Macaca mulatta: one gene and its partners. The main gene of each other region encodes a partner of the protein of the gene in region 2 in a complex. Links are inferred from orthologs where the notes say so. Each region holds a gene or a part of one and is shown on either strand. Other genes may lie near its edges. The genes, in order: DNTTIP1, CIR1 and NKAP.

Region 1 (10,489 bases), on a different chromosome or scaffold from region 2:
TCCATCAAGAAAATTGCTCTCTAGAAAGGTTATACAACAGTGCTTGAGAATGCCTCATTCATGATCTGATTTCATTCTCAGATCCAGAGATAGCTTACACTCACCATATGTCCATTACACTGCCCACCTCACAGGCTGGTTGTAAAGTACCTAAACTATTTTAACTGGCTTTCAGTTGGTTGATATTGAATACCAGTATTCATCTCCAGTTTTTAGGTTTTTGTTTTAAATTAAACTCATCTGATCATTTAATCTGGCCTGAAGACTTCCTCTTAAAATTCTTGAGGTTTCTAATCGAGTCCATTCACAGTCTTGTTGGTTTGATGTTAACGACAGAGGCATTTAACCTTGCTAAATATGAAATGGCAGCACATTCCCATAATTGTCTCTCACAATAGAAGTACTGGGTTTAGGTTCCAGAATTTTCCTATACCCCCGAGATAACTGACAGTTTTTCTAGGCATTACTTGACTAGGCATTTTCTAGAGATGACTGTTTTTATGAGGACATTCACAAGTGCCTCCCACGTGTCTTTGGGACCTCATCGCCTATCTTCTCATGTATTCAGGCTCAAACTCTCCCTGTACCCAGCAGAGAAACCTTCTCCCTTCCCTTTTCACAGTCGATTGGGGTTGCTGGCATCCTGGGGCCCTTGTCAAGTCTCACTCCTCTCCATTCCACAGATGTTTCTTTCAGACTGGACAGTCAGAATTCAGTTAGGACTTTCTGCTATCTTAATATATTTTCTGGCCTACCCTGGCCTATTCACTTCAGACACAGGCATTCTTTTTTCCTTCTAAAGAAGTAACGTATGTACATTATAAAAATCAAAAGGATATAGATAAGCCAAGAGAAGAAAACAGTCACCCACAATATCACCTGTTACTTCAGCGTATATCCCTGGAATTCTTTTGTCTCTGTGTTTGCTTGTGCTGTGTTACATAAATAAGCTCACACTATACCAAACTGTTTTACAACCTCCTTCCTTCACTTTGAGGTATATCATGAATACCTTTACCTGTCAAAACTATATTCTCTTACATCACCTTTATTGTGATTTTTTAATATTTGCCTAGCATTTCATGGTGTGGATATGCCATAATTTATTTAAGCTACACTTAGACATTTGGGTTATTCTTTGATTTTTTGTACTGTTTACACATCAATCTTTTGGGCACCTCCAGGATTATATCCTTCAGAGGGGGAATAAAGGGAGGAGGTCGAGCCTGAAATGTGAATCTATAAATCTGGCCGATCCCAACCTTGCTTATAATCACTTTTCCTTTCTGTATGAGGCTAGGATAAAAGCTTGTCTTGCTTGTCTTGTATTCAGTTTCCTTCAGGTTGATGCCCATTAACAGGACTCTGACCTTGTCCTCTGTTGTGCTCCCCTAGTTCTTCCAGAAGGCAGCATTGAACGTGCGAGACAATGTTGGGGAAGAGGTGGACACAGAGCAGCTGATCCAGGAAGCCTGTCGGAGCTGCCTGGAGCAGGTGAGACCAAGGGGGACAAGAGATGCAGGCACAAGGTTTAGCTCTCGAGCCTCTGATAAGAAATGTGATCCTAAGCCGGGCGTGGTGGCTCACACATGTAATCCCAGCACTTTGGGAGGCCACGGTGGGCAGATCACTCAAGGCCAGGAGTTTGAGACCAGCTTAGGCAACATGGCGAAACCCCATCTCTACAAACAATACGAAAATTAGCTGGGCATGGTGGCACACGCCTATAATCCTGGCTGCTTGGGAGCCATAGGCACAAGAATTGCTTGAACCCGGGAGACAGAGGTTGCAGTGAGCCGAGATGGCACCACTACACTCCAGCCTGGGTGACAGAGCAAGACTCTGTCTCAAAAAAAAAGAAACGTGATCTTACCATTAGTGGTATTTTGGGGAATGCCCAACAAGCCATATATCTGGATAGGTTGAGGCCATTGCTTACAGGGAAGGGAAGTAGCTGCTATATGTCAGGTACCAGGATAAATGCATTCTTTCTTTTATGTCTCAGAAGAAACTGTGTACAGAAGATATCTTTTTTTGTGTGTTTTTTGTTTTTTTTTTTTTTTTGAGGCGGAGTCTCGCTCTGTCGCCCAGGCTGGAGTGCAGTGGCGCGATCTCGGCTCACTGCAAGCTCCGCCTCCCGGGTTCCCGCCATTCTCCTGCCTCAGCCTCCCGAGTAGCTGGGACTACAGGCGCCGCCACCACGCCCGGCTAATTTTTTTGTATTTTTAGTGGAGACGGGGTTTCATTGTGTTAGCCAGGATGGTCTCGATCTCCTGACCTCGTGATCCGCCCGTCTCGGCCTCCCAAAGTGCTGGGATTACAGGCTTGAGCCACCGCGCCCGGCCTTGTTTTTTGTTTTTTGTTTTTTTTTTTTGAGACGGAGTCTCGCTCTGTCGCCCAGGCTGGAGTGCAGTGGCGCGATCTCGGCTCACTGCAAGCTCCGCCTCCTGGGTTTACGCCATTCTCCTGCCTCAGCCTCCTGAGTAGCTGGGACTACAGGCGCCCGCCACTGCGCCCGGCTAATTTTTTGTATTTTTAGTAGAGACGGGGTTTCACCGTGGTCTCGATCTCCTGACCTTGTGATCCGTCCGCCTCGGCCTCCCAAAGTGCTGGGATTACAGGCGTGAGCCACCGCGCCTGGCCAGAAGATCTCTTTTAATTACTATTTTATAGGTGAAGAAATTGTGGCTTAGCAAACTCATAGAAGCAGAAAGTAGAGTAGCAGTAGCTGGAGGGGAGAAGTGGGGGGATGTTAATCAAAGGGTACAAACTTTTAGTTATAAGACGAACAAGTTCTGGGCAATCTGACGTAGAGCATGATGACTATAGTTTATCTCTATTGTTTACTTCAAATTTGCTAAGACCATAGATCTTAAGTGTCCACACACGCAAAATGGTAGCGGTGGATGTGTTGATTGATTTCATTGTGGTAATCATTTCACTATGTATATATATGTCAGTTCACCACATTGTACACCTTGAATATATACCATTTCTGTTTATCAATTATACATCAATAGAGCTAGAAAAAAATTTTTAAAGGCAAACCAAAAAAAAAAAAAAAAAAGACATGGCTTAAGGCACACAATAATTTGAATAGCTAAGATCGGTCTCACCTCTGCAGGTACTTGGTGGATCAAGTTATCATGGCCCCATTTGGTATCATGGGGATGAGCACCCTGCTGCCTCCCTGCCTCTCTGGTGTGGTCAGGAGGCATGACATCAGGTCTATAAGTGACTGTTCCCAAGATAGAGAACCTGTTTACATGTGTCAGCTGCTGTTATTAGTAGGAATTGTTGCCATCACCCTTTTATAGGGAGACATCAGGAAAGGTCACCAACAGTTGCTGGCTCACTTTCTCACATCCCATTCATTCTGTTCACTTTTTTGTTTTGTTTTATTTTTGCTTCAGTCCCTCAGTCCCCACTACTTCACTGGAACCCCTCTTGTCAGGGTCACTAGTAACCTCTGTGTTGTCAAACCCTCTGGTCCCTAACTGTCCTCAACTTACTCAGCTTCTCAGTGACATTTGTCACAGTGGATCATTTCGTGTTTCTTGGAACACTCCTCTGTTGGCTCGAGTGCCTTGACTTTGCTCCAACTTCATTGCCCACTCTTCTCCCTCACCCCCCGCCTCTAACTGTTGGTGCCTTCCCAAGTTCAGTCCTCAGACCCCTTCTCTTTCATGACTCACTGTTTTCATAGCTGTTTTCATCTAGTCCTGTGGCTTGGAAGCCAATTCAGCTGTTCATAATTCACACAGTTATATCTCAGTCCAGAGCTACATTCACTGTTACCCAGTTCCAATCCGCTCTTCTCACAGCAGCCAGACTTATCTCTGTAAAGATGAATTAGATCATGTCACTCCCCATTTTAAAAACCCTTCAGTGACTTTCCTGTTGCAGGGAGAATAAAGTCTTAATGCCTTACCATGACCCACAGAGCTCACCCTGGACCAGCTTCTGCCTGCTTCTTTAACTTCATTTCTTTTTTTTTTTTTTTTTTTGAGACGGAGTCTCGCTCTGTTGCCCAGGTTGGAGTGCAGTGGCCGGATCTCAGCTCACTGCAAGCTCCGCCTCCCGAGTTTAGGCCATTCTCCTGCCTCAGCCTCCCGAGTAGCTGGGACTACAGGCGCCCACCACCTCGCCCGGCTAGTTTTTTGTGTTTTTTTGGTAGAGACGGGGTTTCACCGGGTTAGCCAGGATGGTCTCGATCTCCTGACCTCGTGATCCGCCCATCTCGGCCTCCCAAAGTGCTGGGATTACAGGCTTGAGCCACCGCGCCCGGCCTCTTTAACTTCATTTCATCTCACCGCTCTTTTATTGACTATACTCTGGCCGTTCTGAACTCCTTTCTGCTCCTCCAGCACAAGCTTGGGCCATTTCATTTGCTGTTATTAGTACCTGGAGTACTCTACCCTTAACTCTATAAAGCTGGCTCCTTCTTTCCTTCAGATCTTAGTTTAAATATCAGAGAGGTCTTCCTCTCGCACTCCTACCTCTGCTAAAATCTTGAGCTTTACAAGAGTTGAGGCTGGCCAGGCGCAGGGGCTCACGCCTGTAATCCCAGCACTTTGGGAGGCCGAGGAGGGCAGATCACAAGGTCAGGAGATCGAGACCATCCTGGCTAACATGGTGAAACCCCGTCTCTACCAAAAATACAAAAAATTAGCCAGGCATTGTGGTGGGTGCCTGTAGTCCCAGCTACTCAGGAGGCTGAGGCAGGAGAATGGTGTGAACCCGGGAGGCGGAGGTTGCTGTGAGTCGAGATCGCGCCACTGCACTCCAGCCTGGGCAACAGAGCGAGACTCCGTCTCAAAAAAAAAAAAAGAGTTGAGGCCTAATCTTGTTCACCACTGTATTCCCAGCCCTGGAATATGACTGTTGGTATGTGTACAGAGTTTGCTGAATTATTGAATTAATGAAGGAACAAACAAACGATAAATGAACAAATAAGCTTCCTGCTCTAATAGAACTTAACAGCCTACTTAAGCAGACAGGTGTGAATTAGATTACCACACAAATGTATGAGACTTGTTCACCCTTCACTGAAAAGGGACAAAGTTTGGAGAAGAACATGAATCCAGTTATGGATTAGCAGCTTTGAGCCATCCAAGCATAGACATGGGGCAGACTATTTGATATACAAGTCTAGAGCTCAAAGGATAACCTTTTGTCTACAGCTGAATTATGGAGTCGTGGTTTATAGATACTAATTGAAGCTGTGAGAATAGGTGAGAGCAGATAGAATATGTAATGAGAGAGGATAGAGGGAAAAGAACCAGATTGAGGAGGAAAAACCAACAAAGAAAGCTAAGATAAAGAGTGGCCAGAGAAGTAGGAGGAACACAGGAAAGTGTGACCACAGGAGCCTGTAGAAAAGAGTGTTTCCAGAAGGGGGAGCCCTCAACACTCAAATGCCACTGGCAGAGGTCGGGTGAACCCAATTCTCCACCTGCTACAAGGTTCTTGCTCATGCACCATCTCCCCTCTGCCCGTTCCATCCTTTTCTTCCTCAAATGAGCCAGTTGTTTCCACCTTCAAGCTTCTGCACTCCTCCCTGCTGCTGAAACACTTCTCCCCGGCTTTTGTTATAGCCTCCTTCACATCTCAACTCAGAGGCCACCTTCTGAGCAAGGCCTTCGCTGGCCATTCTCTCAAAGTAGCCCTCCCCTTCTGGTGTTCTCTGTCACATCTGCCTGGGCTTTTTTTCTTTTTTTCTCACAGCATCTATCATGATCCACAGTTACCTTGTTTGTTTCTGTGCTCATTATCGAGATCACCCACAAACTATAAGCTCCACAAGAGCTTGTCCTAGTTACTGCTGTGTCCACAGCACTTAGGTCCTAGGTACTCAATATTTGTTAAAAGAAAAACAGCAGGCCAGGCACACTGGCTCACGCCTATAATCCCAGCACTTTGGGAGGCTGAGGCGGGCAGATCACTAGGTCAAAAGTTTGAGACCAGCCTGGCCAACATGATAAAACCCCATCTCTACTAAAATTACAAAAAAAGAAAAAAATTAACTGGGTGTGGTGGCACGCCTGTAATTTACTCCCAGCTACCCCGGAGGCTGAGGCAGGAGAACTGGTTGAACCTGGGAGGTAGAGATTGCAGTGAGCCGAGATCGCACCACTGCACTCCAGCCTGGGCGACAGAGCAAGACTCCATCTCAAAAAAGAAAAAAGAAAAACAGCAGCTTAATGAGGAATATGTGTTATGCTAATGTATTTAGTTTGAAAAAATATATAGTATGTATTTACATGGGAAAAGCAAGGAAGAATTTACATTGAAATATTAAAAGTAGTTTATGTAGGCCGGGCGCGGTGGCTCAAGCCTGTAATCCCAGCACTTTGGGAGGCCGAGACGTGCGGATCATGAGGTCAGGAGATCGAGACCATCCTGGCTAACACAGTGAAACCCCATCTCTACTAAAAATACAAAAAATTAGCCGGGCGTGGTAGCAGCGCCTGTAGTCCCAGCTACTCGGGAGGCTGAGGCAGGAGAATGGCAGGAACCCGGGAGGCGGAGCTTGCAGTGAGCCGAGATCGCGCCACTGCACTCCAGCCTGGGCGACAGAGCGAGACTCCGCCTCAAAAAAAAAAAAAAAAAAGTAGTTTATGTAATAAGATTCCAGGTTTTTCTTACTTTGCTTTTTTACATTTTTAAATTTTTTCAGCTATGATAATTCAATATTTTTTAAAAAATAGGTATCTATTTCTATGCATATAAATATATACATATGTGGCCGGGCGCAGTGGCTCATGCCTGTAATTGCAGCACTTTGGGAGGCCAAGGCAGGTGGATCACCTGAGGTCAAGAGTTCAAGACCAGCCTGTCCAACATGGTGAAATCCCATCTCTTCTAAAAATACAAAAATTAGCTGGGTATGGTGGCACACCCCTGTAGTCCCAGCTACTTTGGAGGCTAAGGCATCCTAAGAGACGGAGGTTGCAGTGAGCCAAGATGGTGCTGCTGCACTCCAGCCTGGGCAACAGAGTGAGACTCTGTCTCCAAAAATTAAAAAAAAAGAGGAAGTAGGTGGGGTATGCTTACCCACCAAAATAGTGACTGGTAACACTTGGTCTTTTTCCCTTCAGGCTAAACTGCTATTTTCAGATGGAGAAAAAGTAATACCCAGATTGACCCATGAGCTTCCAGGAATAAAGGTCAGAGTCACTGTGTTTTGGGGTATTGGAGGGGGAGGTCCTTCAGGCTGGGAGGTAAATGAAATATGTGGGCCCCGGGAGGTTTCATGTACCTTCCATTTGTAGGACCAGGTCCAAACAGCATCATGCTGGATGGGCTTCTTTGGCCTGGGTCAGGGCGGGGCTGGAGAGCAATAGTCCAGGGCTGTGTCTTCTGCAACTCCAGAGGACTTGCAGCTCCCAGGCATTGGCCTTCCACTGACTCCCTTCGCTTTTCTTTTAGCGTGGCCGGCAGGCAGAAGAAGAATGTGCCCTTCGAGGAAGCCCCCTTCCTAAAAAGGTAAACCATTTCCTTGTTTTGTTTTCTGGCTGAAAAAAGGCTCATCAGGCCAGTTGTGGGAGCTCACACCTGTAATCCCAACACTTTGGGCGGCCAAGCCGGGAGGATCACTTGAGCTCAGGAGTTTTGAGACCAGTCTGGGTAACATAGTGAGACCCTGTCTCTACAATTAAAAAAAAAAAAAAATTAGCCTGGCATGCTGGCACGTTTCTATTGTCCTAGCTACATGAGAGGCTGCAGTGGGAGGATCACTGGAGCCCAGGAGTTCAAGGCTGTGGCAAGTTATGACCATGCCACTGCACTCCAGGCTGAGTAACAGAGTAAGACCCTATCTCTCAAAAAAGGCTCTTCACTCCATGAGGTACTGGGCTTCCTCAAAGCCCTTTTGAGCCTTCCTAGGCATGAGAGGCAGTTTTTCTCCCTGTCCCCATCAAATGTCATTTGATCTCTTTGGAAAACCATCTCTACCAAGTGACCCCAGACCTGCCAATGGGGCATGACCACAGGGTCAGACCTCTGACAGCTGTTTTTTGTGGCAGAGGAAAGGACGGCCTCCTGGACACATCCTGTCAAGCGACCGGGCAGCCGCCGGCATGGTGTGAGTAGGAACCAACAGTGTGGTGATAGCATAGGGGAGCAGATGGAGAGAGGGGCCCTAAAGGAAAAGAGGCCAGGGTTCTGTGCCCGTCAAAATCAGATCCATTAGCTTAAGTCATCATGGAGGGAGGGGAGTTACCCTGGTTTGAGGGGTGAGGAAGAAGGGTAGTGAGGAGGAAATTGTTTTACCCCCTGAACAATTTGGCCCAGCTTGATTGAACACCAGAGGTTTGTCACTGTTAGTATATATTGAATGCTTATGACTGGTCTAAATACGTTACATACTTTACCTTTTAATCTTTATAGCCACCCTCTAAAGAAGGTATCATTAATTTTTCAGATACAGAACAGACTCAGAGAATTACTTGCCTAATGTCATATAGTTACCATTACCTCCAAATTGGTCATTTTCATATATATATATATATATATTTTTTTTTAGACTTAATTTTTTTTAGAGCAGTTTTAGGTTCACAGCAAAATTGAGAGGAAGGTACAGACTTATCCCATATGTTCCCTGCCCCTACACATGCACAGCCTCCTCCATTATCAACATCAGGCACCAGAGTGGTAAATTTGTTACATTCGATGAGCCTGCTTTGACTCGTCTTGATCCTCAGAGTGCATAGTTTCCATGAGGGTTCACTCTTGGTGTTGTACCTGAACTTAGAGAAATGCATAGTGACAGGCATCCACCATTCTAATATCACACTGAGTGCTTTCATTGCCCTAAAAATCCTCTGTGCTCTGCCTATTCATCCTTCCTTCCCCCCTCAACCCACCCCCCAGCCCCACTTTTTAAAAAAATTCTGAAGCAGCAGAATCTTTTTTAAACAAAACGTTACATGGAAGCCCAGTATTTAAATCAAATAAAGCCACACTGGTTTGGGTCAGAGGCGTGGGGTTAGTTTGAAACAACTGGTTTAGTAGATGGGATAGTATTAACTGTCATACCTTAGATGTGTCTCCTACGCAAAGCAGTTTTATTCCTCACAAACACAAGATAGGTAGGGCAGTTGCTGTTTTTGTCTCTTTTGACAGATGAGAAAACTGCCACTCAGAGGTTCTTGGAGTTGCTCATGCCACTATGTAAGAGCAGAGCTAGTGCTAGAATGGCTTCTAGTCCAGTGCTTTTTTTCTGTTTGTTCCTCCTCTAATGTGTCACCACGAAGGAGGATACCCAGGCTAAAGTGAGAGTGTGTGAGGAACTCCTACCACCACCAGCAAGCCAGTATTCAGTTCTAGGTCTCACCTTGGAGAATTCACCTTTATTCTTTCCTTCCAAGCAGATGGAAACCAAAATCCTGTGAACCAATTCGCCGGGAAGGTCCTAAGGTATGATTATATGAGCATGGCAGAGACCACTATCCCAGGAGCTAGTCCCACTATCTCTGGGATCCACCATGGGGGAAAGGGGCAGGGGGCGAAGGATGCATGTCCACCATTCCAGAGCCATCTTCCCCCTCTCCACCTCCAGCCACACTGGCCTCAGAGAGGATCCTGTGTGGGAATTGGAGTTAGAGGCAAAACAAAGAGAAGGCTTGACTCTTTGCTGAAGCCTTCTTGTAGGAGCTAGTGGTCACTAATACTGACTCAATACTTAGTATGTAACAGGCAATGCCCTAAATCTTTTGTGTAGACTGTCTCATTTAATCTTTATAACAAACTCATGAGATCGATTCTGTGAACCATTCTATGAATAAGGGGTTTCCTTTTCTGCCAACTTCCCTGTGGGCATAAATTACTTTATTCAGTTGTCTTATACACTTAATGCACTTAAGACTTGCCCAAAGTCTGGCCGGGCGCGGTGGCTCAAGCCTGTAATTCCAGCACTTTGGGAGGCCGAGGCGGGAGGATCACGAGGTCAGGAGATCGAGACCATCCTGGTTAACATGGAAACCCCGTCTCTGCTAAAAAATACAAAAAACTAGCCGGGCGAGGTGGCGGGCGCCTGTAGTCCCAGCTACTCCGGAGGCTGAGGCAGGAGAATGGCGTGAACCCAGGAGGCGGAGCTTGCAATGAGCCGAGATCCGGCCACTGCACTCCAGCCCGGGCGACAGAGCGAGACTCCGTCTCAAAAAAAAAAAAAAAAGACTTGCCCAAAGTCACATAACTCGTAAGTGATCGAGCCAAGTCTCAAACCCAGGACCCGCTGACACCAGAGTCTCTGCTCTCAACCATTAGCCTCTGTTGCCTCCCTTTCTCTCCTGAGTTCTTCCTCATCAGTGACTTATATAAATGGATGTTCCCCAGAATTCTCTCCTTGGCCCACTTCTCCATCTAAAGTAACTCTCTGGATAATCTAAATCATATACTCTTATGGTTTCAGGGACCACCATGTTCTAAAACTCCCATACTTCTTTGTCCATCCCATGCCTCTCTTTCTACTTTAAAACTTATATAT
Region 2 (11,149 bases):
TAGATTCTACTACATTTGTGTATATATAAGTCCCTTTACTGGACAATGAGATCCTTGAGGGCTGGGAGTATGTCTTACTAATCTTTGTATTCTCATTGCTGGAACTTGTCTTTTGGAAAAAAATCTTATGTGCCCATGCTTCCTCAAGGGAAGGAAGAAGGGGTCTTATTTGAGCTGGGAAATAATACACACAGATTATAATTCTGATGAGACTGAAATTTTGAAACAGACTCATTGATTCAGACAAAAATATGTCAATATAATTTCAAATTGTTGGCATTTCTAGAAGAAAGTTCACATATTTAATTTATAAATCGCAATTATATACTTTAATATCTAGGTTACCTCTTCAGTTGTAATTTGGAAAATCTTAGATCTTCACTTATAATAGAACACCTAAAGATCCTTATTTCGCTGCCAGAATGGACACATTGTTTTACAGAGTTTCCTTCTTTCCTTTAATAATGACAAAACCTTAGAATGGCTTTACACAGGCAGATGCTAGCAATTTAAAAACAAAATTTAAATATAATAAATGTTTCCTTAAAAAGAAAACAAAATGAGTAAAGAAAAACTTCAGCCTGAAACTCCTAAGGGTTTTCCTGTTCTCCTAGTGAGAAGTCTGATGTCTTGATGGCTTCTGTTATTTTCTTTCTGTGTTTCAATCCTTATGTCCTGGATCTCCTTCTATTTGTGTTTTATAGTTAGTTCCATCACTATATAATTTTGGCAGACTATTTAATCTCTCTCTTCCCTATGCCTTCTGCCTCACCAGTAAAATAAAAAAGACACTGTTTGATGGGCTGTTAGAACTTAATAAGGCAACATGTAAAGTGTTTTGCACAGTGCATAGAACATACTAGATATTCACGTGAAAGCTGTTGTTGTTATTTGGTAAGAGAGAAAATTTCTCATAAAGTCTTATTCTTTTTTTTTTTTTTTCCCTGACAGTTTAACTCTTGTTGCCCAGGCTGAGTGCAATGGTGCAATCTCGGCTCACTGCAACCTCCGCCTCCCGGGTTCAAGTGATTCTCCTGCTTCAGCCTCCCGAGTAGCTCAGATTACAGGGGCGCGTGCCACCACACCCGGCTAATTTAGAGTAGAGACGGGTTTTCACCACGTTGGCCAGGCTGGTCTACGAACTCCTGACGTCAGGTGATCCACCCACCTCGGCCTCCCAAAGTGCTGGGATTACAGGCGTGAGCTACCGCGCCCGGCGTAAATTTATTCTTAACATTACCCTGATAGAGAGCTTGGTTGGTGGGTCACCTGCTGCAGAAGCAGCCACGTCCACTCAAAAACCTGGAGTCCCAAGGTCCATCAAGCTGCAATAGGTAATCTGAGCTGCCTAACTGGGGTGGTAGGGAAAGCTAAGGAAACTTGCCGCCTGGTTAGAATGGCACCTAGCCCACTGAGGAGGTGAAGCCTTGAGAGATTTTACTAACTCCTAACGTGTATTCGTCATTCAGTAAGTCTTTATTGAACGTCTTTCGGCGCCAGCACCGTACAGCTGGGGCAAGGGCCTCCGTTCTTGCAAAGCTGTCTCATTCTATTTCACGCGCTCTTAGTTCAGCGGGCGCTTTCAGAAACATATCGTTGGATTCTCGCAAACATACTACAGTTAGGGCAGGAATTATTATCTCCATAACAGAGATGAGAAAAACAGTGCAGAAAAGTTTTTGCAGCTCGAGTCAGAGTTCACAGAAAGTAATGGGCTCGAGCTTCAAGCACCTTTGGTCGAAGGGCCGCCGCGGTCCACCCCGCACCCCGGCCCTGGGCGCTCAAATCGCAGCCAGCGCAGCTGGGCTCTGGAGCCCCTCGGTTAAGCAGTACCGCCCCACAGTTGGGTCTTCCCGGTTTCTGTCTCAACTATGCACGCCCCTCCCCCGTGCACGCCCCTCACCTGGCCTCCAAACTACCCGAAGTGACAGGTGGACGGAGGGAGGATTGGCCAGTGTAGGCATCAATTGCCGGAAGCTGTTACCTTTGACCTCGGAAGTTCCCCCTGCCGCTGGAAAAGCAGTTCCGGTTAGGAGACTGAGTTTGTTTACGTTACTTACAGATCTAGGTGCCGCTTTCCCTAGCTCCAGGTCCAAGATGGGGAAATCCTTCGCCAACTTCATGTGTAAGAAAGACTTTCATCCTGCCTCCAAATCCAACATCAAAAAAGTGAGTAAAGAGACCCGGGGAGGGATCAGGCCCACGGAGACTGCCTTCCCTGAGGTGCTGGAAGTGAAAGTGGTGATGTCTCTGAGGTCCGTAGGACAGCCCCGCTTCTCTAGGCCTAAAGCCCCGTAGTCTCGCCTTTCTCTGCTGAGCAGCTCGCTGACGCAGGGGATCCTCAGCGTTTATTCTGCAACAGCGAGGAGACCGGCGGCCTAGAGAATCTTTGTCGCCCGGAATGTAAATCCATAATATGTGAAGACTAATGTCAAAATTCCTCAGTACTTCCCTCAGCTGATTCTGGTTTTTTGTCTTTTCGGATCCCAGGGATCACGGCTTCTGAACTCTACTTTTCTGTACAAAGAAGTCTCCACGTTTATTTAAGATAGATCTTTAAAAAATTTACCCAATAATCTAGTGTCTTTTTAATGACCTCGTTGAAGTTTAGTGTTTTACGTAATTACAGGTCTACCAGGTGTAATACCTTGGTGAATATCATAGTAATGAAAAGCAGAAGAGTGAATTAGAAAGAATCGGCTTTCGAGTCAAATCTGGATTCTAGTTATTCGAGCAGTCACTTTTAGCCTTAAGACCTTGCACAAAATATTTGTAATATCTGACCCTCAGTCTCCTAATCTGTAAATTAAGGGTGATTGGCTTAATTGTGAGGATTAAGTGAAATAGTGGAGATAAAGGATTTGAAACAACGTAGGCATCTATCACTGTTCGCTACAGAGAGGAGGTGCTCAATAAAATGTTGATTGCCCCATGTAGAAAGTTGTGAAAATAACTAAGCTTTTATTTGTTTTTAGAACCAGTTGAGGTGATGAGATATTGCTATATACTCTCACTTCTAGACCAGTGATTCTCAACTTTTTTTCACTGTTACCTTCCTAAGGAGCCTTATTAAACATTTTTTCTTAGTAACTCCCCCATGAAATTTTAATAACGCAGATACACCTTGAAAGCTCTTTGGTAATCATCCAGCCCCATCTCCTTATTTTATAAATGAGGAAACAAATTTGCCAAGAGTTACACAGCTAGTTAAATGTTGTACCAGAACTAGAATCTGGAACACCCGATTAACCTAGTGATTTTTTCCGCCGCACCAGTTTGTGTTTGCGTGGTTGCAACTGTGGGAGGGAGAGGTTTCTTGTATTTGGTTGGCTCAATAACTGTTGACAGCAAACACAGACGTTTCCTTTCTCTGCATACTCAGGGGGTCAGCTATTACTAGTTTTACAAGAATGAAGAGATTAGATGGAATTCAGTTGCTTGCTTAGTTGCTGTTTATATTTAGAGACAAATATACCCGAGAAATCATAATTTTTTACTGGAACTTTTGACATTTAGCGTTATAAAAGTCATTGAATCAGCTTTCTTACAAGAAAAAAGAAATCCACGGAGAATAACTTTTGCAAATCCCCTATGAGAAATTCAGTAAAGCAGTTATAGGCTTAGAACCTACATTCTTCTCATCCGTGTAAAGTGTTAAGTAAAATGTACCAAATACTGTTGGCCTTTGTGATCTCTTTTATACTTTTCCCAGGATAGAGGAGAAGAATGAAATGTTTTTGATTAGCAGACCTTTCTAGATAGTTAATACTTTATGGGGAGAGGGGGTAACCTCTAACATTCTTAATTAACTAAGGATAGAGGAACTATATTAAATGAAGATAAATAGAAAAATGTATTCGGGTAGGAGGAAACTTTTGGAGATGATGGATATGTTTATAGTCTGGATTGTGGTGATGGTTTCTCAGGGATATACTTGTCACCAAACTCAGGTTGTATACATTAAATATGTACAACTTTTTATATGTCATACTCCAGTAAAGTTTGTTTGTTTGTTTTTAAGAAATAGAAGTGGAAGAAACAAAGGAGTTTGATCAAAGAGTGCAAAAGAGTTCCACCATGAAAATTTTAAGGGCCAGGTATGGTGGCTCATACCTATAATCCCAACACTTTGAGAGGCCAGGAATTCAAGACCAGCATGGGCAACAAAGTGAGACCCCCATCTATATTTAAAAAGAAAGAAAGAAAATTCTAATTGTAAAATTAAGCATGTTGGGTTTATTAAAGTCCAGTAGGTTCTTTTTTTCCTTGTTCGTTTTCAGTTTCCCAAGCTTACAAAGAGTCTGGTAGGTTTTAAGGTCTCATTTGTTCACCAGAAATAAGAGTGAATGCTATACATCTGCTGGTCACTCTGTTATGTATTGTTATGCGCTGCCTCAGTCATTTATGTCACAGGATACACTGTTTTAGTTCAGCTGTTCTTTTTTTTTTCTTGATATTGTTAATGAAGGAAGCAGTTAATTTACATTGTGGTCCAAGCTCCTTATTTGTCTTCTTGTGAACTGGCAAACACTTTACAAACCGGCTATTGACAATAGCACCACTGTAAACTCCTTTTTTTGTGAAAGTCTCTCTTCCCTTAGCTGTAGTAACTACTCTCTTCTAGTTTTCCCGCTCTATTAGTAGACTTCTTTTTCCATCAACTTCACTGGATCTTTATTTTTAGCCTGCTCCTAAAATATAAGTGTTCCCCAAAGTTTCATCCTTGGCCCACTTCTTGCTTACTTAGTATCCTTGCCCCAAGCAATCACATCCAACTAGCCCGTTTTAACTAGCCTGTTTACTCATGACTCAGATCTGCAGTCCCAGTTTTCTCTTCTTAACTTTGATGTGGCTCCAGACAGCTATCTAGACATTTACGTCTTGATGTCCTATAGGCACCTCAAACTCAACATATCTGAAATAAAAGGTTTTTTTACCCCAAATCTGCCCTTTTTATACTTGCTATCTCATATGGGTAGAAATATAGATAGTAAAACAATCCTTCATCCTATTACCCAAACCAGAAGCTCAGGATTCATCCCTTTTCCCATCACTCCTTTATCTAGTCAATCACTGAATGCTATTGGTCTTACCTTCCAAATATCTCTTGAATCCGTCTTTCCTCTCTGTCACTACTGCCTGTGTCTTAATTTAGACCCTCATCATTTTTCACCTATATTGTTGCATTTCCTAAGTGGTTCTACTGCCTCCAATCTTGAATCCTCTCAAATCCATTCATTACACAGCCCTCAGAATAGTCATTTTTCATTTTAACAGCTCTGCTGAGATAAATTTACATATCATATAAACACACATGTAAAATGTACAATTTAGTGGTTTTTAAAATATATTCATGGAGTTAAGTAATCATTACCACAAACAATTTTAGAACTTTGTCATCACCCCAAAAAGAAACCCCCGCCGGGCACGGTGGCTCATGCCTGTAATCTCTGCACTTTGGGTGGCTGAGGTGGTTGGATCACCCAAGGTCAGGAATTCGAGACAGTCTGGCCATCATGGTGAAACCTTGTCTCTACTGAAAATACAAAAATTAGCTGGGCATGGTAGCAGGCGCTTGTAATCCCAGCTACTCGGGAGGCTGAGGTAGGAGAATCACATGAACCCGGGAGGCAGAGGTTGCAGTGAGCCAAGATTGCGCTATTATACTCCAGCCTGGGTGACAGAGTGAGACACCGTGTCTCAAAAAATGTAAAGAAACCCCCATACCTGTTAGTCACTCCCATTTCTCCTTAACTCTCCTCCCTCTCTGCAGCCCTAGGCAAGCACTAATCTACTTTCTGTTAGTGGATTTGCCTGTTCTGGAAATTCATTTAAATGGAATCATGCAATCTGTGGTCTTCTGTGACTGGCTACTCTCACCATAATGTTTTTGAAGTTTATACATGGGATGGCATGTATCAGCACTTTGTTCCTTTTTATTGCTAAATAATATTCCATTGTATGGATGTAAGTTATTTTGATAGAATCGTCTTTTTTTAAAGCACAAATCTGATCTCTTTCAGCCCCTTATTAAAGTGTTACAGGATTGAGCCCAAGTAATCTCACTCCATTTTTTTCTCCTTCTCTCCCCTACTATTCTCCCACTTTAGATTGATTGATCGATTATTTGATTGGTTGATTGATTTTGAGATGGAGGCTCACTCTGTTGTCCAGGCTGGAGTGCAGTGACGCAGTCTCAGCTCACTGAAGCCTCCACCTCCCGGGCTCAGGTGATTCTTCTGCCTCAGCTTCCCAAGTAGCTGGGATTGCAAATACACACCACCATGCCTGGCTACTTTTTGTATTTTTACTAGAGATGGGGTTTCACCATGTTGGCCAGGCTGGTCTCGAACTCCTGACTTAAGGTGATCTGCCCACCTCGGCCCAACCTCAGATTTTATACATTAGTAATGTTGAACTACTTAGTTCTATTCTACATCTTTGGGCCTTTGCCTGAGTCGTTCCCTCTGCCAGTAATATCTTGCCCTGTTTTTTTCCTTGGCAATGCCTTGATCCTTTTCAAAACCCTGCCAAATGTGTGTGAAATTACCTGTGTATTGAGTTCTTGCGGCAAAGTTTTAATAGCAAAATATTGGAAATTTCTTAAGTGCCCATTTATACAGTAGGAGGCTACTTAAATAAATTATAAATTATGGTATAATCCCACAATAGAAAAATATGCAACTTTACCACCCAAAAGAAGAAAGCATTTGTTTACTGATCTGTGTTAGTCTTGTATTAGTATTAGTCTGTTCTCATGCTGCTATTACCTGAGACTGGGTAATTTATAAGGAAAGAAGTTTAATTGACTCACAGTTCTGCAGGGCTAGGGATGCCTCAGGAAACTTAAAATCATGGCAGAAGGGGAAGCAAACACATCTTTCTTCACATGGTGTCAGCAAGGAAAAATGCTGAGCAAAAGAGGAAAAGCTCCTTTTCTGATGGTTTTGTCCATCAGATTTCGTGAGAACTCACTCACTATCACAAAAACACCATGGAGGTAACTGCCCCTATGATTCAGGTACCTCTCATTGGGTCCCTGCCATGATACGCGGGGACTATGGGAACTACAATTCAAGATGAGATTTGGGTGGGGACACAGCCAAACCGTATCATTCCACCCCAGCCCCTTCCAGATCTCATATCCTCACATTTCAAAACACAATCATGCCCTTCCAACAGTCCACCAAAATCTTAACTCATTCCAGCATTAACTCAAAAGTCTAAGTCCAAAGTCTCATGTAAGACAAGGCAAGTCTCTTCCACCTGTGAGCCTGTAAAATCAAAAGCAAGTTAGTGACTTCCTGGATACAACAGGAATACAGGCATTGGGTAAATACACTCATTCCCAATGGGACAATTTGGACAAAACAAAGGTGCTACAGGCCCCATGCCAGTCCAAAATCCAATAGGGCAGTCATTAAACCTTAAAGTTCCAAAAGTATCTCCTTTGACTTCATGTCTCATATCCAGGGTGCGCTGATGCAATAGCTAGGCTCCCACAGCCTTGGGCAGCTCTGCCCCTGTGGCTTTGCAGGGTATAGCCCTGCTCCTGGATGCTTTCATGGGCTGGTGTTGAGTGTCTGTGGCTTTTCCAGGTACATGGTGCAAGTTGGTGGATCTACTATACTGGGGTCTGGAGGACAGTGGCCCTCTTCTCACAGCTCCACTAGATAGTACCTCACTAGGGACTCTGTGTGAGGGCTTCGACCCCACATTTCCCTTCCCCACTGCCCTAGTAGAGGTTCTCCATGAGGGTTCCACCCCTGCAGCAAACATCTGCCTAGACATCCAGGTGTTTCCATACATCTTCTGAAATCTAGGCAGAGGTTACCAAACCTCAATTCTTGCCTTCTGCGCACCTGCAGGTCCAACATCACATGGAAGCTGCCAAGGTTTGGGGCTTGCATTCTCTGAAGCAATGGCCATAGCTGGAGTGGCTGGAATGCAGGGCACAAGTCCAAAGGCTGTACACAGCAGGTGGGAGGCTGGACTCAGCCCAGGAAACCACTTTTTTCTTTCTCCTAGGCCTCCAGGCCTGTGATGGGAGGGGCTGCCGTGAAGGTCTCTGACATACCCTGGAGACATTTTCCCTTGTCTTGGTGATTAACATTCAGCTTCTCATTATTTATGCAAATTTCTGCAGTCGGCTTGAATTTCTCCCCAGAAAATAGGGTTTTCTTTTCTGTTGTGTTGTCAGGCTGCAGAATTTCCAGAATTTTATGCTGTGCTTTCTCTTGAATGCCTTACTGCTTAGAAGTTTCTTCTACTGGATGCCATAAATCATCTCTCTCAAGTTCAAAGTTCCACAGATCTGTGGGGCAGGGGCAAAATGCCACCAGTTTCTTTGCATAGCAAGAGTGACTTTTACTCCACTTCTGAAAAGGTTTCCCATCTCCATCTGAGACCACCTCATCCTGGACTTCATTGTCCGTATCACTATCAGCATTTTGGTTAAAGCCATTCAACAAGTCCCTAGGAAGTTCCATACTTTCCCACATCTTCCTGTTTTCTGAGCCCTCCAATTCTCTAGGAAATTCCAAAGTTTCCCACATTTTCCTGTTCCAACCTCTGTCTGTTACCCAATTCTAAAGTCGCTTCCATATTTTCAGGTATCCTTTTAGCAGCACTCCACTCTACTATACCAATTTACTGTATTAGTCTATTCTTACCGCTGCTGTGAAGAAATAACCAAGACTGAGTAATTTATAAAGGAAAGAGGTTTAATTGACTCATGGTTCTTCAGGGCTGGGGAGGCCTCAGGAAACTTACATTCATGGCAGAAGGGGAAGCAAACATGTCCGTCTTCACATGGTAGCAGTGAGGAGAAGTGCTAAGCAAGGGGAAAAACCCCTTATAAAACCATCAGACCTCGTGAGAACTCACTTACTATCATGAGAACAACATGGAGTGTAACCGCCCCCATTATTCAATTACATCCCACCGAGTCCCTCCCATGACACATGGGGATTATGGGAACTACGATTCAAGATGAGATTTGGGTGGTGACACAGCCAAACAATACCAGATCTCCATGGTATATAATTTTATTTCATACATATTTTGTGTGCGTGTGTGTGTTCGCGTAAAGTATGTTACCATTTATATAAGAAGAATGTTGTATATGTTCTTTTGCATATACATATATTAGAACATCTCGGAAGGATATGTAAGAAATGTGTAACATTAACTACCTATGAATATAGTTACGTAATTTAAACTATAAATACAGCTTTTAAAAACCAAAACTTGCCCAGTCCACTGTGACTTTCGCCTGTAATCCCAGCACTTGGGGAGGCTGAGGCGGGCAGATTGCCTGACGTCAGGAGTTCAAGACCAGCCTGGCCAACATAGCGAAACCCCTTCTCTACTAAAAATACAAAAAAATTAGTTTGGTGTGGTGGTGGGCTCCTGTAATCCCAGCTACCTCTGAGGCTGAGACAGGAAAATCACTTGAACCTGGGAAGCGGAGGTTGCAGTTAGCCGAGATTGTGCCATTGCACTCCAGCCTGGGTGATAGCCAGACTCCGTCTCAAAAATAAAAAGAACTCGTATCAAGGCACTTCCAGTTTTTCAGGTGTTAATTTGTAATGATGTGATTACAGCCCAATTGGATTATGTTATAAACTTTCAGCCAAGCTTATCCAGCTCTTGGCCTGTGGGTGGCATGTGGCCCAGGACAGCTTTGAATGCCGCCCAACACAAATTTGTAAACTTTCTTAAAACATTATGAGATTTTTTTGCCCTCTTTTTTTTTTTTTAGCTCATTGGCTATCGTTAGTGTATTTTGTGTGGCCCAAGACAATTCTTCTTCCACTGTGTATTGGTGTGTTTTCTGTGGCCCAGGGAAGCCAAAAGATTGGGCACTCCTGCTTTAAGCAATTGCATTTTATATTTTATTATACAAGAAAAGCAAACTTTGTTTAACAATTTAAATCCAACAATTTAATTTGCATTTTTACTTCACTAATCTAGGTATGGATGGCAGAACAGAAAATATCATATGATAAGAAGAAACAAGAAGAATTGATGCAGCAATATCTTAAAGAACAAGAATCATATGATAATAGGTAAGAAATTCTGTTATGCCAGTATATCTAGAATTATCAATTTCATGGGAATAATTTCCTACTGAATGATATATTAAGTCAGCTTTTTGGGATCAAATACCCAACTATAGGATTCTTTTCTTTCCCTGAGGGCTATCTCTTTTACTCTCATACCTGTAGATGGCCACTTTTTCCGGCTTTACCCATAATTCATGTAAAATATAGATTCATGTGACTCATATATAGTCTTTGAGCAAGTCTCAAATTAGGCAAAGCTTAGAAGAACAATCATGTCTACACTTGAACTGCTGAGACCTCTTACAAACTTATTTCTTTAACACACTCAAATGAAAAGATATGCAGGACACTTTCAAGAGGAAAAGTAAAGTGACTTTATTTGACATGCCTGTCATTGTTCTGTTAAAAGCTGTATCGTGGCTAGGGTTCTTAATTGGTGTCTTCCAACATGGTACCTGCCTTTAGCTATTGTGTTATATATGCAGATTTAACACTGAAACTTGTTTCTCTTGGTTAATCAAGCAACTGAATAGTGGTGTTTTGGTAAATTGTCCATGAAGTTCAGTTTTCAATCAAAATATGGAATTTAGCAAAGTAATACTAAACTATTAATACTTTTTAAAATATAATATATTGAGAGTAAAGTTAAAGAAATAAAAGTTAAATAGCTTTCTCGCTAATTTTGTTTAATCTTATTAACTTTTATTGAGTACCTATTCCATGCATGGCAATAAGTGGTATTATAGGTACCTATAAAAGTGTGTGAAGTGTAGTTTCTCTCTACCCTTAAGAAACCCTAGTAAGAGATACATACATATAGTTCAAGGCCAAATATAATAACTGATATATTAAAAGCATACACTGCTTTTGAAAATACAGCATGTTAGTATAGGAAAGAATAATTCCATTTAGGATAATGGAAGACTTTATGGACGAGGTGACATTTAAGCTGAAATCTGAAGAATGATAAGGATTTAGATAGGTGGTTCTCAACTGAGCATCATTTTTTGCACACACCCCTCACCCCCCCAACCCTGCCCAGGGAACATGTGGCAATGTTTGGAGACATTGTTTTGATAATG
Region 3 (10,489 bases), on a different chromosome or scaffold from region 2:
ATTAAAAAAAAAAAAAAAGGTATTTTTTAAATACAGAGCTATTTTATTGAGAAATTTTAAAAAATCAGTTTGTAAATAGTTGAACATTAGACTTTGCTTTTACTCAAATTGCCCATCGTCTGTTTCTTTTGATGTTCAGAAATACTTTTTTAGAATATAACTTTTTTATTTGTATTTTCTTAGAAGAAAAAAAGAAGAAGAAGAAGTCTAGCCATTCAAAAGAAAGGTCCAAGAAAAGGAGAAAGAAAAAATCATCGAAAAGAAAACATAAGAAGTATTCTGAAGATAGCGACAGTGACTCTGATTCTGAAACAGACTCCAGTGGTAAGAAAGCCAAGAGCATTCTGTAAGCCTTGCTTCAAAACTAGTTTTACTTCTTAAAACTTATTTTAGAAGAAGGTTCCTAGAAACAATAATAATACTGAAGATTTTTTGAACACTTGCTAACCTTGTGCCAGGTACCCCAATAAGCACTTTATATTCATTATTGCCATTTAATCCATACAATAACTGTAGGGTACATCTTATAGATGAAGAAAAGGAGACAGAGCAGGTTACAAGTACTATCCCTAAGGTCACACAGTTTGGATTCAAACCTAAGCAATCTGACTCCATATTGGGATTGGTTGTGCAAAGTTTTACAAGGCACATGGCACCAGACCAAGTCAGGGGGTTAGGCTGTACCAAAGTAAGCCTTACAGGGCTGCATCAGCCCAGTGGAAGGGCTCTTTTGTTTAATTCTCGTGCCCAGTGAGCACCTCTGTACAGTTTTCAAAAAGGTATGCCATAAAGTGCCTACTTCATGCTGGCTGCCTATTTGTGGAAGGCACCCTATCTGCGGTAGTGCATCACAAAAAGTCTCTTTTTTGTACTCTCTCCTGTCTGATGATTGACCAGAAGGTGATTCCTCTGAGGTTAACACATTACACAAAGATTCACCGTCCTCTGATATCGCCCAAGTTTCCTGGCCCTCCCTGTCACTTCTCTTCCTCAATGCTGGCAGACAGAACTTTCAAATATTTCTGTATGCATCCCTTAAAAAGAGGCATTTTTTTACACCTAACTACAACACTATCTCATACAATAAAATTAATAATAATACCCTATATCACGAAATACCTACTTAAAATCCTTCAATAGCACTCCATAGCCTTCAGGGTGAAGTTCAGACCCTGACTCACTTCTCTCTAATCACACATACCCTGTTACACTCTCTTGCAGCATCCTCTGTAATCTGAAAACTACTTTCTGTCTCCTCAGTATTCCGTGTTCTTTCTCTTAATTGTTACTTGGTAGAGAGGCCCTCTGCCTACAATGCCAGTCTCTCCCTCCATCCAGCTTGGTTTACTCATTGCACCAATGGGCATGCGTTACTTTTGTAATCAAAGAACTACTTTAAGAGTCACCTTTCCTTATCAACCATTCCTCAGCCACCCTCCCCAAATCAGTCTGATTTTGAGACTCCTCTGTGTGTCCAGGTTCCCCAAGCTTCCTTCTATCACTCCAGATTGTATTGATCTCTTTACCTGTCTCCTCCATTAGACTGAGCTCCGGGAAAGTATTCTCTCTCCCCTCCTCCAACACACACATAGTTTTCTTTCCCTTTTTATTATGAAAATATTTAAATATTCAGAAAAGCGAAGAGAATAGTATAATTAATACCATATACTTATCACCTAGATTTGGCAGTTGTTAGTATTTTTACATATTTGCTTCAAATACGGGCTTTTCACTGAGATAGTCAAAGTTAATTACAAATATTCTCACACTTTCACCCTAAATATTTCTGTATGTGTCCCGTACAAAGAGGCATTTTCCTACTTAGCCACCACACTATCTCACACAATAAAATTAATAATAATACCCTATATCACCAAATACCTAGTGACTTTAATTTCTATGTTCACAGTACCTCCTACAGTTCCTGACAAATAGCAATAAATGTTTCAATGAGGTAATTTCTTTGTAACAATAAATGCGACAGCAGTAGGGTAGTTACCTACTCAAAAGTACTACAATTTTAGAGTTAAATTTTTTCTTAATTGTAATGTGCTTTAATTTGCAGATGAAGATAACAAAAGGAGAGCAAAGAAAGCCAAGAAAAAGGAAAAGAAGAAGAAACACAGATCGTCAGTTTTTTAAGTTTTATTATGGAAAATTTCTTTTCTTTTTTTTTTTTTGGAGACAGAGTCTCACTCTGTTGCTCAGGCTGGAGTGCAGTGGTTCGATCTCGGCTCACTGCAACCTCTGCCTCCCAGGTTCAAGCGATTCTCATGTCTCAATCTCCCGAGTAGCTGGGATTGTAGGCACCCACCACCATGCCCGGCTAATTTTTGTGTTTTTCAGTAGAGATGGGATTTCACCATGTTGGCCAGGCTGGTTTCAAACTCCTGACCTCAAGTGATCCTCCCACTTTGGCCTCCCAAAGTGCTGGGATTACAGGTGTGAGCCACCACACCCGGCCAGAAAATTTCAAATGTATATAAAATTACATAAAATAGTATAATGATGCCTCCTGCACCTGTCATGCAGTCTAAATAATTATCAACTCATGGTCAGTATCTGCCATCCATCATTTATTTTGGAACCAATCTCAGATATCATTCCATCCATAAGCAATTCAGTACCTTTCTCTAAAAGATAGGCATTCTTTAAAACAAAACAAAACAAAACAAAACAAAGCAAAAAACTGGCCAGACACAGTGGCACATATCTGTAATCCCTGCACTTTGGGAGGCCAGGCAGGAGGATCGCTTGAGCCCAGGAATTCAAGACCAGCCTGGGCAACATAGCTAGACCCTGTCTCTATATTTAAAAAAAAAAAAAAAGCAACCCATAACCAGAATGCTACTATTGTGCCTAAAACATTTAATAATAATTCCTCAATTCTCAGCCGTTTTTTCTGTAGTTTATTCCAATCAGGATCCAAATAATGTCCCTAAATTGCAATGACTGTATTCTTACGGTTTTTTTGGCATGTTCTGTCCTCTGTATTTCTAATAGATTGATAGGTCTAGAGGCCTGACAAGGTTCAGATTTGAGTTTGGGGCAAGAATACTTCATAGGTGGTGCTGTGTACTGTCAATAGGCAAATAATGTCTGGTTGTCTCTTTTTATCATATTAACAACCATTGATGGTCATTATCTCGATCAATTATTTCATTAGGGGTTGTAAAATGATGATAGTAATCCTAGCTTTATCCTTCGTTTATTAGGCAAATAATTCTTTAAGAGAAACTTACCCTCATCAACTATTTAGATACCCTGAAATATAGTTATATAGTAAGAGCAGGATAATTGCTTGATTGTTTTTGTTTTATTACTTTTCAAATAATGAATTGAATTTTTTAAAAGTTTTATGAACCCAAGGATTTAAACATATTTGACATTTTAATCCATTACACATAAAATTGTTCATAATGTTCAAATTGTTGGAACTTTTTAGGCTGTTTTATTTCTGTTGTCTTTCTACAACATCAGAACTGTATTTCATTATTCCCTTTAGTGAATTTTTTTTTTTTTTTTTTTTTGAGACCGTGTCTCACCCTGTCACCCAGGCTGGAATGCAGTGGCACGATCACAGCTCACTATAACCTCAACCTTCCAGGATCAAGCCATCCTCCCACCTCTGACCCCACCTTCCCCATACCTGGGACTACAGACGTGTGCCACCACACCTGGCTAATTTTTATATTTTTTGTAGGGACACAGTTTTGTCATGTTGCCCAGGGCTAGTTTCTAACCCCTGGGCTCAAGTGACCTACCCGCCTCAGCCTCCCAATGTGCTGGGATTACAGGGGTGAAACACTACACCCAGCCTCCTTTAGTGATAATTTTTATAGCAAAAGATGATTTGGTTAAATAAGAATAGTTTTTTTAAAAATTGTTTAGAGACAATGTCTCGCTCTGTTGCCCAGGCTGGAATGCAGTGGCTAATCATAGCTCATTGCAGCCTTGAACTCCTGGGCTCAAGTGATCCTCCCTCCTCAGCCTCCTGAATAGCTTAGACTACAGGTGTGTGTGCCATCACACCCAGCTACTTTTTTTTTTTTTTTTTTTTTAATAGAGACGAGGTCTTGCTATGTTTCCAAGGATAAGTTAGAAGCAGATTTTTTTAAGTAAAATTATCTTGCAAATTTGAATACTCTGGGAACTCAGATCATTTTATTGTCACCTTTCTTTGCCTTGAAAAATTAAGATATATAGTTACCAGTTCAAAATTTAGAAAGAAAAAGAAAAATTAAGATGCCCTCTAACATAGGAAGATTAAGTGAATTTGCATCAAATTATAATCCCTATAGGAAGAAATATAAGAAAAAGAAGTCTAAGAAGAGCAGAAAAGAGTCCAGTGATTCAAGCTCTAAAGAATCCCAAGAAGAGTTTCTGGAAAATCCCTGGAAGGATCGAACAAGTAGGTTCTTCTGATAGACTTTAACTCAGAACAGATGAAACATTAAAGTAACCAATTAGTCAGAATGTGAATGTGTTTCTTAATATCTTTCATGCAGAGGCTGAAGAACCCTCAGATTTAATTGGCCCAGAGGCTCCAAAAACACTTACCTCTCAAGATGATAAACCTTTGAAGTAAGTAGCAGTGTGTTTATAATATCTAAAGTACCTTCCAAAAAGTCTGGGCCTAACTCACCTTGCCAAGCTTATCTGACTCTGTTCCCTTATATCTACTTCGGGTTCTGGCTGAGCTTGACATACTAAATATTCCCTATGCTTAATGTGTACTTTGCAACTTTTATGCAGTGTTCAGCTTATTTCTTCATCCAGTATGCCTTCCCTTCTTTTCCCTGCCCTTTGTTCTCTTCCTTATCCCCAGTTTCTTCCTGTTAAAATCCTTACTATCCTTCGAAGCACTTTTCAAAAGGAGATGCATATGCTGATTCCCAATACTTCCCCTCCACAAGTAGGTGTGATTTCTATTTCTCTTTGATCCTCACAGAATTTTTTATTCCTTTTTTTCTCTTATTTTTTTTTTTACCAGCAGAATTTTTTTTTTCTTTTTTTGAGACGGAGTCTCGCTCTGTCGCCCAGGCTGGAGTTTAGTGGCGTGATCTTGTCTCGCTGTAACCCCTGCCTCCCAGGTTCAAGCGATTCTCCTGCCTCAGCCTCCTGAGCAACTGGGATTACAGGCATGCGCCACCACACCCGGCTAATTTTTTTGTATTTTCAGTAGAGACGAGGTTTTACCATGTTGGTCAGGCTGGTTTCAAATTCCTGACCTCATGATCCACCTGCCTCAGCCTCCCAAAGTGCTGGGATTACAGGCGTGAGCCACCACACCTGGCCTAGAATTTTTTGTTTGTTTGTTTTGTTTTGTTTTTTTGAGATGGTGTCTCACTCTGTCTCCCAGGCTGAAGCACAGTGGCGTGATTGAGTTTCACTCTGTTGCCCAGACTGGAGTGCAGTGGCATGATCTTCGCTCACTGCAACCTCCGCCTCCCAGGTTCAAGTGATTCTCCTGCCTCAGCCTCCCAAGTAGCCAGGGTTACAGGCGCCTGCCACCACGCCCAGGCTAATTTTTGTATTTTTAGTAGAGATGGGGTTTCACCATGTTGGCCAGGATAGTCTCGAACTCCTGACCTCAAGTGATCTGCCTGCTTCAGCCTCCCAAAATGCTGAGATTACAGGCATCAGTCACTATACTCAGCCTACTTTGGATTTTTTTTTTTTTTTTTTTTTTTTTTTGAGACAAAGTCTCGCTCTGTCACCCAGGCTGGAGTGCAGTGACACGATCTCGGCTCACTGCAACCTCCACCTCCTGGGTTCAAGTGATTCTCCTGCCTCAGCCTCCTGAGTAGCTGGGACTACAAGCATGCACCACCATGCCCGGCTAATTTTGTATTTTTAGTAGAGACGGGGTTTCGCCATGTTGGCCAGGCTGGTCTCGAGCTCCTGACCTCAGGTGATCCGCCGGCCTCGGCCTCCCAAAGTGCTCGGATTATAGGCATGAGACACTGTGCCTGGCATACTTTGGATTTTTTAAGGGAAAAAGGGAAAGGGAATCAGCTGGAGCCAGAACCAGTAATGACAATACCTGTAGGGATAAATTAATCCATAATTGTAAACTGTGAATCTATACTCACATCAGTTCTTTTTTTCAAAATATTTCTGCATTTCTGGGTTAGTTGTATAGGTCATAGTGCAATGCAATATTTAATACACTAATTAGGATAAAGCAATTCACATTGAGCTTCCTAGCGCACTACTGCTGAGCATTGTTACTCCTACTCTTGTCTGAGAGAAAATGTGGGGTTTTTTGGTGCTCTCTTTAGATTATGAGTTTTTAATATTAAGATGATTTAATGGACGTTTTCTGAATTCTGAATTACTTTGTAGCTATGGCCATGCTCTGTTACCTGGTGAAGGCGCAGCTATGGCTGAATATGTAAAAGCTGGAAAACGTATCCCACGAAGAGGTGAAATTGGCTTGACAAGTGAAGAAATTGCATCATTTGAATGCTCAGGTTATGTAATGAGTGGTAGCAGGTATGTTATTGGCATTAAGCTCAGTTTCCATGACTAGATCTTCTTTTTTACTACTAGAATTATATTTTCGTAATTGATTCTCATTAAGTGACTGTTTCTTATTAAAAGTAGAGTATAAATATTGGTTTGATATTAGTTTTGTTAGTATAACATGGTTTTCTGCAATTCCAAGTATATATGCAACTCAGCCTCAAACTCAGCTATATCTCTGACTTCAAAGAATCAGTCTTTCTAATGTCCTTTCCTAGTTGGTATTTGGGTACAGATATTTTATCCACTGGAGGATATAGTTAAATTCAGCTATTTATCACTGTCCCGTGAGGAATGTGGCAATTAGGGAAATATTTTCGCAAGACAGTGTTTCCTGGTTACAAGTTTGTCTCCAGTTCTTTATGGGCCCAGATTTCTGAGACTGAATAACAGAAAAAGATGATAAAAGACATTGGTCAGCTGAGAACATGTCCTGGCTAATAAATAAATGAATAAATATATAAATTTTAAAAAGACACTGGATTCAGCATGGGGAAACAAATATAAAATTAGGAAAGGGAAAAGTTCCAGGAAGAACCAGGAGAATGAGCTAATAGGGCAGGAGTATTTAGATCAAATTGAATTTTGGATTCTTTAAAACTTGATAAACTTTTTAAAGTAGATAACTATTTTTAAATGATATTGAAGGCAAATATTTGCAGAAACCCTGAAGCACCTCCAGAATCTTGTAATTCTGAGGACCAATATTTGAAGTATTACATTGGAGGACCCATGCAGTAAGGCAAGAAAAAGAAATTAGAGACACAAGGATTGGAAAGGAAGGCCGGGCACAGTGGCTCATGCCTGTAATCCCAGCACTTTGGGAGGCCAAGGCAGGCAGATCACTTGAGCCCAGGAGTTCAAGACTAGCCTGGGCAACATGGTGAAACCCATCTCTACTAAAAACACAAAAATTAGCCAGACGTGGTGGTACGCAGCTGTAATCCCAGCTGCTCAGGAGGCTGAAGCAGGAGAATCGCTTGAACCCAGAAGGCAATGAACCAAGATCACACCACTGCATGCCAGCCTGGAGAGCAAGACTCAGCCTGAAAAAACAATAATAATAATAATAATATAATAAGGATTGGAAAGGACAATATAACAATATCATTTTTTATCCAGGTGCGGTGGCTCACGCCTGTAATCCCAGCACTTTGGGAGGCATAGTTGGGTGGATCACCTGAGGTCAGGAATTCAAGACCAGCCTGGCCAACATGGTGAAACCCCGTCTTTACCAAAAATACAAAAATTAGCTGGGCATGGTGGCGGACGCCTGTAGTCCCAGCTACTCAGGAGGCTGAGGCAGGAGAATCACTTGAATCCAGGAGGCAGTTGCAGTGAGCCAAGATCATGCCATTGCACTCCAGCCTGGGTGACAAGAGTGAAACTCCACCTCAAAAAATAAAATGTCATTTTTTTGTGAATGACATTGTGAATGATTTGATTGTTTACATAGAAAATCCCAAAGAATCTCCAGATAAATTATAAATAAGAGGAGTGTTTAACAAATGGTTGGATATAAGGTTAATACACAAAAATCCATTGCATTTCTATTTACCAGCAACAGACAACTAGAAAATGTAACTAAATAAGAAGAAAACAACATTTGTAATAGTATCAGAGAATATGAAGGACTTCAGAATAAATCTTAACAAAAGATGCCCAACACTCTGTGAGGAAAACTATAAAACATTATTAAGAGATTGTATATTCAATACAGTTCCAATAAAAATGAATTTCATTTCTATTTACCAACAGCAGAAACCTAGAAAGTTTATAACAGTGTCAGAATATGAAGGACTTAAGAATAAATCTTAACAAAAGATGCCCCAGGTTCTATGGAGAAAAATGTAAGACTTTAAGAATCTGTCTATTCAACAGTTCCAATCAAAATCACAACATAGTTTTTCATGAGACTTATTCAGCTGGTTCTAAAATGTATATATTACACTAAAAGGACAAGAATAGCCAGGTCACTTCTGAAGAAGAAGAGCAAGAAGGTAAGATTAAAGAAAACTTAAATAACTGGAGAGATACCAGGTTCATGGATAGGAAATCAATATTGTAAAGTTGTCAGTTCTTCCCAAATTGATCTTTATATTGAATACAGTCCCAATCAAAATCACAACACAGTTTTTCATGAAACTTAATAAGCCAGTTCTAAAATTTATATGTTAGACTAAAAGGACAAGAATAGCCAAGTCACTCCTGAAAAAGAAGAGCAGGAAGGTAAGATTTCCCCTACAAGATAGGAGGATTTATTATGAAGCTCACAGCACTTTAGAAAGCATGGGAGAACAACTGAATTGTTCAATGGAATAAAATTCAGGCTGGGCGCAGTGGCTCACGCCTGTAATCCCAGCACTTTGGGAAGCTGCGGCGGGTGGATCACCTGAGGTCAGGATTTCAAGACCAGCCTGGCCAACGTGGTGAAACCTCGTCTCTACTAAAAATACAAAAATTAGCTGGGTGTGGTGGTGGGTGCCTGTAGTCCCAGCTACTTGGGAGGCTGAGGCAGGAGAATCACTTGAACCCATGAGGCAGAGGTTGTAGTGAGCTGACACCTCGCCATTGTACTCCAGCCTGGGCAACAAGAGCAAAACACTATCTCAAAAAATAAAAATAAAAATAAAATTCAGAGCCCAAAGATACATGTTTGGAACTTCAGTGTATGAAAGAGATAGCATGTCGGATCAATGGGGAAAGAAAGAACCATTCAGTACATGAAATAGGAAAGAAATGGTTTTTCATATGAAAAAAGATGAAAGTAGGACCCTGTATTACCAAATATAAAAAACAGTGCAGCAGCCAGGCACGGTGGCTCACACCTGTAATCCCAGCACTTTGGGAGGCCGAGGCAGACGATTCACTTGAGGCCAGGAGTTCAAGACCAGCCTGGCCAACATGGTGAAACCCTGTCTCTACTAAAAATATAAAAAGGAGCTGGACGTGGTAGCGGGTGCCTGTAATCCCAGCTACTCAGGAGGCTGAGGCAGGAGAATCGGTTGAACCTGGGAGGCAGAGGTTGCAATAAGCCGAGATGATGCCACTGCACTCCAGCCTGAGTGACAGAGGGAGACTCAGAAGTTAAATCCACTGACAAAAACTGCTCTTCAATTATAGATTTAGACTTGGTTTTTTCTTTTTTTTTTTTTTCTTTTTTGACCTAGTTTCACTCTTGTCCCCCAGGCTGGAGTGCAGTGGCGCGATCTCAGCTCACTGCAACTTCCGCCTCCTGGGTTCAAACGATTCTCCTGCCTCAGCCTCCCGAGTAGCTGGGATTACAGGCACCCGCCACCACAGCCAACTAATTTTTGTATTTTTAGTAGAAACGAGGTTTCACCACGTTGGCCAGGCTGGTCTTGAACTCCTGACCTCAAGTGATCTGCCCGCCTCAGCCTCCCAAAGTGCTGGGATTACAGGCGTGAGCCACCGTGCCCAGCCTAGACCTGGTTCTTTTGGTTGTATGGTAAAGTAGAACCTTGAAGGAAGTTCCATCTGATTAATGACTAGTTAAATGTTTTATCTGTCCTGCTATCAATTCCACAAAGGCAAATGGATATATCACCTAGGAAGTTTAATAATTTGCCCATTTCTGGTTGTTTTACTGGAAACAAATTAGACGTATACCCTTACTATTTGAAATTAATGATAGTGGCCGGGCACGGTGGCTCACATCTGTAATCCCAGCACTTTGGGAGCCAAGGCAAGTGGATCACCCGAGGTCAGGAGTTCGAAACCAGCCTGGCCAACATGGCGAAACCCCATCTCTACTAAAAATAGAAAAATTAGTCAGGCGTGGTGGCACACACCTGTAGTCCTGGCTACTCGGGAGGCTGAGGCAGGGGAATCACTTGAGCCTGGGAGGCAGAGGTCGCAGTGAACCAAGATTGCGCCACTGCACTCCAGCCTGGGTGACAGAGCCAGACTACATCTCAAAAAAAAGAAAAAAAAAAGGATA

The links.
Region 1: CIR1 (region 2) and DNTTIP1 share a complex: the UniProt entries of both Homo sapiens proteins name them as parts of the histone deacetylase complex. The link is inferred for Macaca mulatta from reciprocal best matches to the Homo sapiens genes CIRSR and DNTTIP1.
Region 3: CIR1 (region 2) and NKAP share a complex: the UniProt entries of both Homo sapiens proteins name them as parts of the notch corepressor complex. The link is inferred for Macaca mulatta from reciprocal best matches to the Homo sapiens genes CIRSR and NKAP.

Annotation. Positions count from the first base shown.
Region 1 is NC_133415.1:98,582,795-98,593,283, forward strand, and holds part of DNTTIP1 (deoxynucleotidyltransferase terminal-interacting protein 1), read left to right. Parts: intron 1-1,395; coding exon of another isoform or gene 1,396-1,494; intron 1,495-7,100; coding exon 7,101-7,169; intron 7,170-7,431; coding exon 7,432-7,488; intron 7,489-8,027; coding exon 8,028-8,086; intron 8,087-9,374; coding exon 9,375-9,420; intron 9,421-10,489. UniProt on the Homo sapiens protein: Increases DNTT terminal deoxynucleotidyltransferase activity (in vitro). Also acts as a transcriptional regulator, binding to the consensus sequence 5'-GNTGCATG-3' following an AT-tract.
Region 2 is NC_133417.1:79,287,883-79,299,031, reverse strand, and holds the start of CIR1 (corepressor interacting with RBPJ 1), read left to right. Parts: upstream 1-2,039; 5' UTR 2,040-2,097; coding exon 2,098-2,169; intron 2,170-9,975; coding exon 9,976-10,070; intron 10,071-11,149. UniProt on the Homo sapiens protein: May modulate splice site selection during alternative splicing of pre-mRNAs. Regulates transcription and acts as corepressor for RBPJ. Recruits RBPJ to the Sin3-histone deacetylase complex (HDAC). Required for RBPJ-mediated repression of transcription.
Region 3 is NC_133426.1:126,413,640-126,424,128, reverse strand, and holds part of NKAP (NF-kappa-B-activating protein), read left to right. Parts: intron 1-183; coding exon 184-324; intron 325-2,065; coding exon 2,066-2,129; intron 2,130-4,301; coding exon 4,302-4,411; intron 4,412-4,508; coding exon 4,509-4,584; intron 4,585-6,348; coding exon 6,349-6,498; intron 6,499-10,489. UniProt on the Homo sapiens protein: Acts as a transcriptional repressor. Plays a role as a transcriptional corepressor of the Notch-mediated signaling required for T-cell development. Also involved in the TNF and IL-1 induced NF-kappa-B activation.